Linked DNA regions of Canis lupus familiaris. The protein of the gene in region 1 binds, or shares a complex with, the protein of each later gene. Links are inferred from orthologs where the notes say so. Each region holds a gene or a part of one and is shown in the gene's direction. Other genes may lie near its edges.

The links.
Region 2: POLR2E (region 1) and POLR1B share a complex: the UniProt entries of both Homo sapiens proteins name them as parts of the pol I pre-initiation complex. The link is inferred for Canis lupus familiaris from reciprocal best matches to the Homo sapiens genes POLR2E and POLR1B.

The regions. Positions count from the first base shown.
Region 1 is NC_049241.1:58,128,532-58,132,633, forward strand, and holds the start of POLR2E (DNA-directed RNA polymerases I, II, and III subunit RPABC1), read left to right. Parts: upstream 1-1,298; 5' UTR 1,299-1,375; coding exon 1,376-1,432; intron 1,433-1,655; coding exon 1,656-1,830; intron 1,831-3,076; coding exon 3,077-3,192; intron 3,193-3,604; coding exon 3,605-3,685; intron 3,686-4,102. UniProt on the Homo sapiens protein: DNA-dependent RNA polymerase catalyzes the transcription of DNA into RNA using the four ribonucleoside triphosphates as substrates.
Region 2 is NC_049238.1:36,969,584-36,973,099, forward strand, and holds part of POLR1B (DNA-directed RNA polymerase I subunit RPA2), read left to right. Parts: intron 1-1,583; coding exon 1,584-1,754; intron 1,755-2,600; coding exon 2,601-2,757; intron 2,758-3,516. UniProt on the Homo sapiens protein: Catalytic core component of RNA polymerase I (Pol I), a DNA-dependent RNA polymerase which synthesizes ribosomal RNA precursors using the four ribonucleoside triphosphates as substrates.

The DNA.
Region 1 (4,102 bases):
GTCTCTCAGAATAAATAAATAAAATCTTAAAAAAAAACAAAACAATCAAGGGACTCAGGGAAGGCAGGGAGCGAGAGGGCTGGCAGGAAGAGGTCAAAGGAGAGGGAGCAGCTGTAGGAATGTCAGAAGAAGGGCGTATCCACCAGAGGGTGCAATGTGTGCAAAGGCCCTGGGGCTGCACTTTGCCTGCTGCGTTGGCTGCAGGAGGCCCCGGGGGAGGGGGGAGGGGAGGTCAGAGGCTGTCGTGGGGCAAGCCTGGGGCACACCTGGGAGGCCTCGTTGATTGCCTTGAAAAGCCGGGGTTTTCCTTTGCTGTTGCTGCATTTCAGCTGAGAGATGGGGGAGGGGGAGAGGAGGGAGAGGGCCACAGATGGGGGCTCACGTCGGCGCCTGCAGTTCTGAAGGTGGAGGGTTTGCAGTCGGACAGGATGGACAGGATGTGGAGAAGGGGCAGGACGGAGGAGCGGAGCTGCCGGCCCAGGGCGGACAGACTAGGGAGAAACGGGTGTAGACGGCAGATAAGAAAAAACGGGCTGGCGGAGGGGGTGCCTGGGGGGCTCCGTTGCTTAGGCTTTTTTTTTTAATTCTCGAGAGACAGAGACAGAGAGACAGAGAGAGAAAGAGAGAGAGAGAGAGGCAGAGACACAGGCAGAGGGAGAAGCAGGCTCCACGCAGGGAGCCCGACGTGGGACTCCAGGTCTCCAGGGTCACGCCCTGGGCTGCAGGCGGTGCTAAACCGCTGAGCCACCCGGGCTGCCTTTCTTTTTTTTTTTTTTTTTTTTAAGACTATTTACTCCTGAGAACCGCTGGGGGAGAGGCAGGCTCCTGCGGGACCCGATGCGGGACTCGAGCCCACGATGCGGGGATCACACCCCGAGCGGACGCTCAGCCACGGAGCCACCCGGGCGACCCGAGGCTGCTGCGCAGTAAGGCGGCGGCGACGCCCAGCAGCGGGATGCGTACCTGGTGGGGGGCCTGACAACATGCCCTGCGCCCCGGGGAGGCGAGCTGACCGCTGACCCCACCCTGGCCTCAGTTTCCCCGCCCACACCTCGCCTCCGCCCTTCCGGATTCCAAACTCCCCACCCACACGGGCATCGGGCGGAAACCACAACTCCCGACAGGCCCCGCGGCCGAAACCCCGCGACAACTGCCGAGGCGAGAGTGGGCGGTCCCGTTCGCTCGGCTCTGGCTCCGCCCACCGCCGCTCGCAGAAGGCCCGGGCTGCCCTCGGCGCTGCCGCCCGCGAAGGTCTCTGGAGTCCGGCGTTCGCTGTGGGCAGCCCCGCGCGGGGCTTGGCAGGGCTCGGCGCAGGCGCAGTCAGCGCGGGCCCCTGCCGCGGGCTCAGGCGCGCGGGTTGCGAGCGGCGGCCGCCATGGACGACGAGGAGGAGACGTACCGGCTGTGGAAGATCCGCAAGACCATCATGCAGGTGAGCCCGCGCGGTCAGGGCGGCGGCGGGCGCAGCTCGGAGCTTCCGGGCGCGCTCGGCGGGTGCGTCCCGGCCTCTGCGGCCCCTTCCTGTGCGGTCCCCACGCGCTCGGAGGCGCCGGGCCGCGGCCCTGTCCGTCCTTCTCCGCGGTGACGTCATCCGGCCGCGCCCCTCCCGCCCCGCCCTCTGAGCCCGGGGGTCACCCGGCTGGTGCTCCCTGCAGCTGTGCCACGACCGCGGCTACCTGGTGACGCAGGATGAGCTGGACCAGACGCTGGAAGAGTTCAAGGCCCAGTTTGGGGACAAGCCGAGCGAGGGGCGGCCCCGGCGCACGGACCTCACGGTGCTGGTGGCCCACAACGACGACCCCACCGACCAGATGTTTGTCTTCTTTCCAGGTGAGGGTCGCGTGGGTCCTGGGTGGCTGCGTGACCCCTAGGAGTCCGCAGCCCTCGTGCAGCCATCCAGGGACGGTGTCTACACCCGCCCTCCCGAGTGCCCAGCCTGCTGCGCACGGTGCCACGGGGTGCTGATGGGAGCCCTGGGTTCTGTTCCCCGCTGACTGTTCGTTCAGTGCAGCCGGATTGTCGCAGGCCTCCCGGGGGGCCCAGCCCCCTGCCCAGAAGCAAGGGCGTCGGAAACCTTTGCAGGAGGGACCCTCCTGGTGCTCGTGCAAACAGCGTCCCCGTGTGTGGGTCGGCCTGTGGCAGGGCCCTCCCTGGAGTGGGCCCGGGGCGCCCGTGTGCTCCAGTGGGCCACAGAATGGGACTGAGCGGCCGTGCTGGTCCACCTGGACCGCCGCGACTGGGCGCCGCAGACCGGGCGGCTTCAGCAGCAGCCTGACCTCTTCCGGGGCTGCAGGCAGGACGTCTGAGACCAGGGTGTGCACGGGGCTGGGTCCCCCTGAGGCCTCTCCCTGGCGTGCCGGTGGCCGTCTTCTCCATGAGTTCCCGAGGTCGTGCCTCTGTGTGTCTGTGCTGTTGTGTCTGACTGAGGTCCATCCTGACAACCTGGTGGAATCTCCTCTTTAAAGACCTCAGTTCCAAGTACGGTTGCACCCGAGGTCTCGGGGGTTAGGATTGTAACACGGGGATTCCGTGGGAAACAGCTCAGTCCCTGACGCTGCCCGTCAGGTGAGCAAGGGTCCGAGGGGAGTGCTGTGATGGGGCAGATGTGGTGCACCACACGCACCCGTCCTGGCAGCAGGCACCCAGTTGCTCACCTTCCACCAGGCTCAGAGGGTCCCGCAGGTCTTGGCCCCTGTACTGTGGTGAGCGTGAGGGTTCCCACCGTGGCTGTGCAGGGAGGGGGTTTGGTCCTTCAGGTCAGCTGCTTCATCTGGGGATTCCAGACATTGCACCACGTAGGTCCCCAGATTCAGCTTCCAGGGAGGGATCCACCAAGTGGGTAGATGCAGGGCACCCATCAGCTCCGTGGGGGCTGGGGGGGAGGACTGGCACCCTGGTGGGTTCCCTGGGGCCCTAGAAAGAGGGAGCTGGTCCAGAGAGGCACTGCTACACCTTGGCAAGGTCAAGCTGGAGCCCGCGCGCCTAGCAGGGTGGAAGTGAACGAGCAGGTGAGTGAGCAGGGCCCTTGGGGCAGGAGGGACTCTTGCAGTGTAGACCTCGTGTGTTCTGTCCCCAGAGGAGCCTAAAGTGGGAATCAAGACCATCAAGGTGTATTGCCAGCGGATGCAGGAGGAGAACATCACCCGGGCCCTCATTGTGGTACAGCAGGGCATGACTCCCTCCGCCAAGCAGGTGGGCACGCTGCTCGTGTTGGCCGCACGTCCTCATGGGCCCCAGGATCTGGGGATCTGAGAAGGAGCGGCTCTCCCGTGTGGGCAGAAGCCAGAGCAGGGAGGTGCCCTGCATGGGTGCCAGCATTCCTGTGGTTAACAGGTCCGAGGAGGGGCTGCTGTTTGGGACGGAGGGCCAGCTCTGTGCGCTCGTCCCTGCAGGGTTCTCTACGTCACACCAGCACAGGGACAACTGCAGGAGCATTTTGTTAGGTGTCACAGTTTGTGTCGGGTGGTCTCTTCCTCCCAGAGGAGCCTTACTGACCTGACACGTGGGAACCCCCTTTGGCTCCCACCTGCCCTCAGCCCCTGGGAGAGGTGGGGTGGCGGCGTCTTGGGCCTTGGCTGTGCGTGAGGGTCAGCCTCTCTTTCAGTCCCTGGTTGACATGGCCCCCAAGTACATCCTGGAGCAGTTTCTGCAGCAGGAGCTACTCATCAACATCACGGAGCACGAGGTGAGGGCCTTAGTGGGGGTCTGCGGGAGGGGAGGCTGGACGGCTGGTGAGGTGGCACCTGCCCGAGCACAGGGAGGGCCTGGGGACGCACCAGGTGCCGCTGCTCCCACTTTGTGGGGAGGAGGAAGCAGAGCCGGAGTCTCAGTGAGGCCCTGGGCACTTGCCAGGTGTGCAGTCAGGCAGCTGGGGGGCAGGGGGTGGGGTCTGTCCAGGGGCCCCTGCACTCTCCAGGTTATACCCCCCCAGGCGCCTGCAGGCCATAGCTCCTTCCCCCCAGGCGTGGAGTCAGGAGCAGGGTGGGGTGGCAGCTGGGACCCTTGGGTGGATGGTTGACTCCAAGGAAACAGCCTGTGGCGCTCTGCTCCCCTTTCCCGTGTGGGGGCGCCGTGGGGCCTGTCACACCCACAGACTCAGTTT
Region 2 (3,516 bases), on another chromosome or scaffold:
TCACCGAGGCCCTAGTCTAAGAAATCTAAGAAATCTTAACTTTTTTTGTTTTGAAAATACTAATGGTGGGGTCCCTGGGTGGCTCAGTGGTTGAGTGTCTACCTTTGGCTCAGGTCATGATCCTGGGGTCCTAGGATCGAGTTTCTGTATCGGGCTCCCCGCATGGAGCCTGCTTCTCCCTCTGCCTATATTTCTGCCTCTTTCTGTGTGTCTCTCGTGAATAAATAAATAAAATCTTAAAAATAAATAAATTTACATAACAGAATTTACCATCATAACCATGTTTAAGAGGTTTTCTACTTCTAATGAGGTCTGTTTGGGTAGCCTGTATTTTACCCATTTTATTTTGATTTCTTGGAGTTGTACAGAGTATACTTATAATTTTAAATTTTAGTTTCAGTAGTTTTTTTGCTGTTGTCATTTCTTACTCAGTACATTTGTCTGCCCCCCCCCCACTCCTTTTTTTCTTGACTAAGTTAAACAAGGGGGATTTGTTGGTTTGTTTTTTTTTTTAAAGTACCAAGAATTTTGATTTGTTGCTTTGAGCCTTTTTCGGTACTGTACCTCATTAAGTTCAGGTTTTATCTTTGTTAACTTGTGGGGGTTTTACGTATGTGTGTTCTGTTTGTTTGGGTTTTTTTTAGCTTTTATGTTAAGAATTTAATCCATCTGTTTTTGTTGATGACTTGTTTAGCTGTGAATCCCCAGAAGTTCTGATATATAGGTCTTGTTATTTTTTTTTCACATTTTTGTAATGTGTGTTTATATTTTACCCTGGAGTTGGTTAGTAGAAGTTTTGTTGTTTTGTTTTTTAATTTCCAGGTAGAAGAGCCTTTTCATTGAGTACAGTTTAAAATAAAACCAGTAATATACTACATTCTAGACATCAGAGGACAAAGTTTTACTTATGCATCCACGTGCACCTTCTTGGTTTACCTTTCCTCTAGGCTCCCCTTTACCAGTTTGCCACATAGTGAGGTACCACCCACCCCCCAGAAAGTAGGGCTTTGGCCAATTCTGGATATGAGGTGAGTAGCATTCTGTGTGGTGATGAGACTGGAAGGGCACAAAGTTATTACTGGCATAACTGATTTAAATTTTTTCTTTAAGATTTTATTTATTTATTTTTTTTAACATTTTTATTTATTTATGATAGTCACAGGGAGAGAGAGAGGCAGAGACATAGGCAGAGGGAGAAGCAGGCTCCATGCACCGGAGAGCCCGACGTGGGATTTGATCCCGGGTCTCCAGGATCGCGCCCTGGGCCAAAGGCAGGCGCCAAACCGCTGCGCCACCCAGGGATCCCAAGATTTTATTTTTTTATTCACGAGAGAGGCAGAGACAGGGAAAGCAGGCTCCATGCAAGGAGCCTGATATGGGACTCGATTCCAGGACCTCCGGGATCACGGTCTGAGCTGAACGCAAATGATCAACCACTGAGCCACCCAGGTGTCCCACTAATTTAATTTCTTGATGCTGCTTTTTATATTTGGCCTCCTTTCCCATTCTACCCACCTCCTAGGTGACAGGAGGATAAATTTGAAACACATCACTTCTTCTTAATTGAACTCTGTTGAAAACAGGTATTAAAAGAAAAAAGAATTCCTCCCTGGATGGAAGTGGCCCTTATCCCTATGACAGGAAAACCAAGTTTATACCCAGGATTGTTCCTGTTTACCACTCCTTGTAGATTGGTACGGCCTGTGCAGAACTTGGAATTAGGCAAAGAAGAACTAATTGGAACTATGGAACAGGTATGTAGAACATTGTGATTGGTGCCTGTATATGCTCCTGTTACAGTACACAACTTTCGGAGACTTAATAACCACTCTTTTTTAAAAGTGTTATCGGGGTACCTGGGTGGCTCAGTCAGTTAAGTGTCCAACTCTTGATTTCTGCTCAGGTCATGATCTCAGGGTCATGGGATCGAACCCTAAGTCGGGCTCTGCACTCAGCAGGAAGTCTGCTTCACATTCTCTCTTTCCCTCTGTCCCTCTGCCTGCTTGCATGAGCACCTGTTTCTCTCTCTCAAAACAACAACAACAACAAAAAAAAAAACCAGAAAACTTCTTTTTATAAAGAAAGTGTTGTTGTTCTTTAATAACAATTGGGCATTTGAAAAAAATCAGAATTTACTTTCTGCCTCCTACCAGAACAAAGCAGTTTTCACATGTTCCTTCACTGTGCTTACATATCGAGAAAGAGAGTTGGTGGTCACATTACCTGCCTTCTCATCCCGCCCAGCTCCTTTGCACCTGACTCTGAGTCAGGTGGTGAGGTGGGAACATTCCATTAGACTTAATATTTGCCTACATCTTTGCAGTTGCAAAACTGTGGGCTTTGTGCTACCTCAAAATGTCTGTCTTCCTGTCCTTCACAGTTGGACCAGGGTAGATTTAGAATGAAATGCATCAGGCAAACAGTATTTCTGACCTGGAAGCTTCTCCGTGCTTCCCAGTGGATCCCATCAGTGTTCATGATATGGAGTGGGAACGTTTGCATTCACATCTTTGAGTCCTAAACTCAGAGGGAGGATGAGTTCATATGTTAGCAGTGAGTTATTCTGTGCCTTGAACTTCCTCACCCTTCCTCTCTTCCAGATCTTCATGAACATTGCCATCTTTGAGGATGAGGTTTTGGCTGGAGTTACCACTCACCAGGAGCTCTTCCCTCACAGCCTGCTGAGTGTGATTGCCAACTTCATCCCCTTCTCCGATCACAACCAGAGTCCCCGAAATATGTATCAGTGCCAGATGGGTAAGATGGAGTGGAGGGTGGTGGGATTCACACAGAAGAAAAGTGCTTATAACTTTTTTATTTTGAAATAATTTCAAATTCAGAGAAATGTTGTGGGCATGGTACAAAGAACTTCTGTAAGCCCTTTATGTAGATTCTGTTAACATGTGCACTGTTTTCCATTTGGAGGTAAATTGCAGACACGATGCCCCTTTATCCCTAAATATTTCATTGTGTATTTCCTAACAGCAAGGATGTCTCCTTACATATAACAAGGGCAAATATTAACATCAGGAAATTGATGTTAATGACATTGATATTGATGTCATTATACTGTTCTATAGTCCTTACTCTGATTTTGATTGATCATCCCCAAAATATGGTTTATGGCAAATTTTTTTCTGTGTAGCACCTAGTCCAGGATCACGCAGTGTATTAGGTGACACATCTCTTTAGTCATTTAATTCTTTTTTTTTTTTTTTTAAGATTTTATTTATTTATTTGACAGAGAACAAGCAGGAGGAGCAGCAGGGAGAGGGAGGAGCAGGTTCCCCCCTGAGCAGGGAGCCTGATGGGGGCTCTATCCCAAAGCTCCAGGATCATGACCTGAGCTGAAGGCAGTCATCTAGACACTCTCTCCTTAGTCTTTTATTTTTATTTTATTATATTTTTTTAAAGATTTATTTATTTATTTATGATAGAGAGAGGCAGAGACACACACAGGCAGAGGGAGGAGCAGGCTCCATGGTGGGAGCCCGACGCAAGACTCGATTCCGGGAC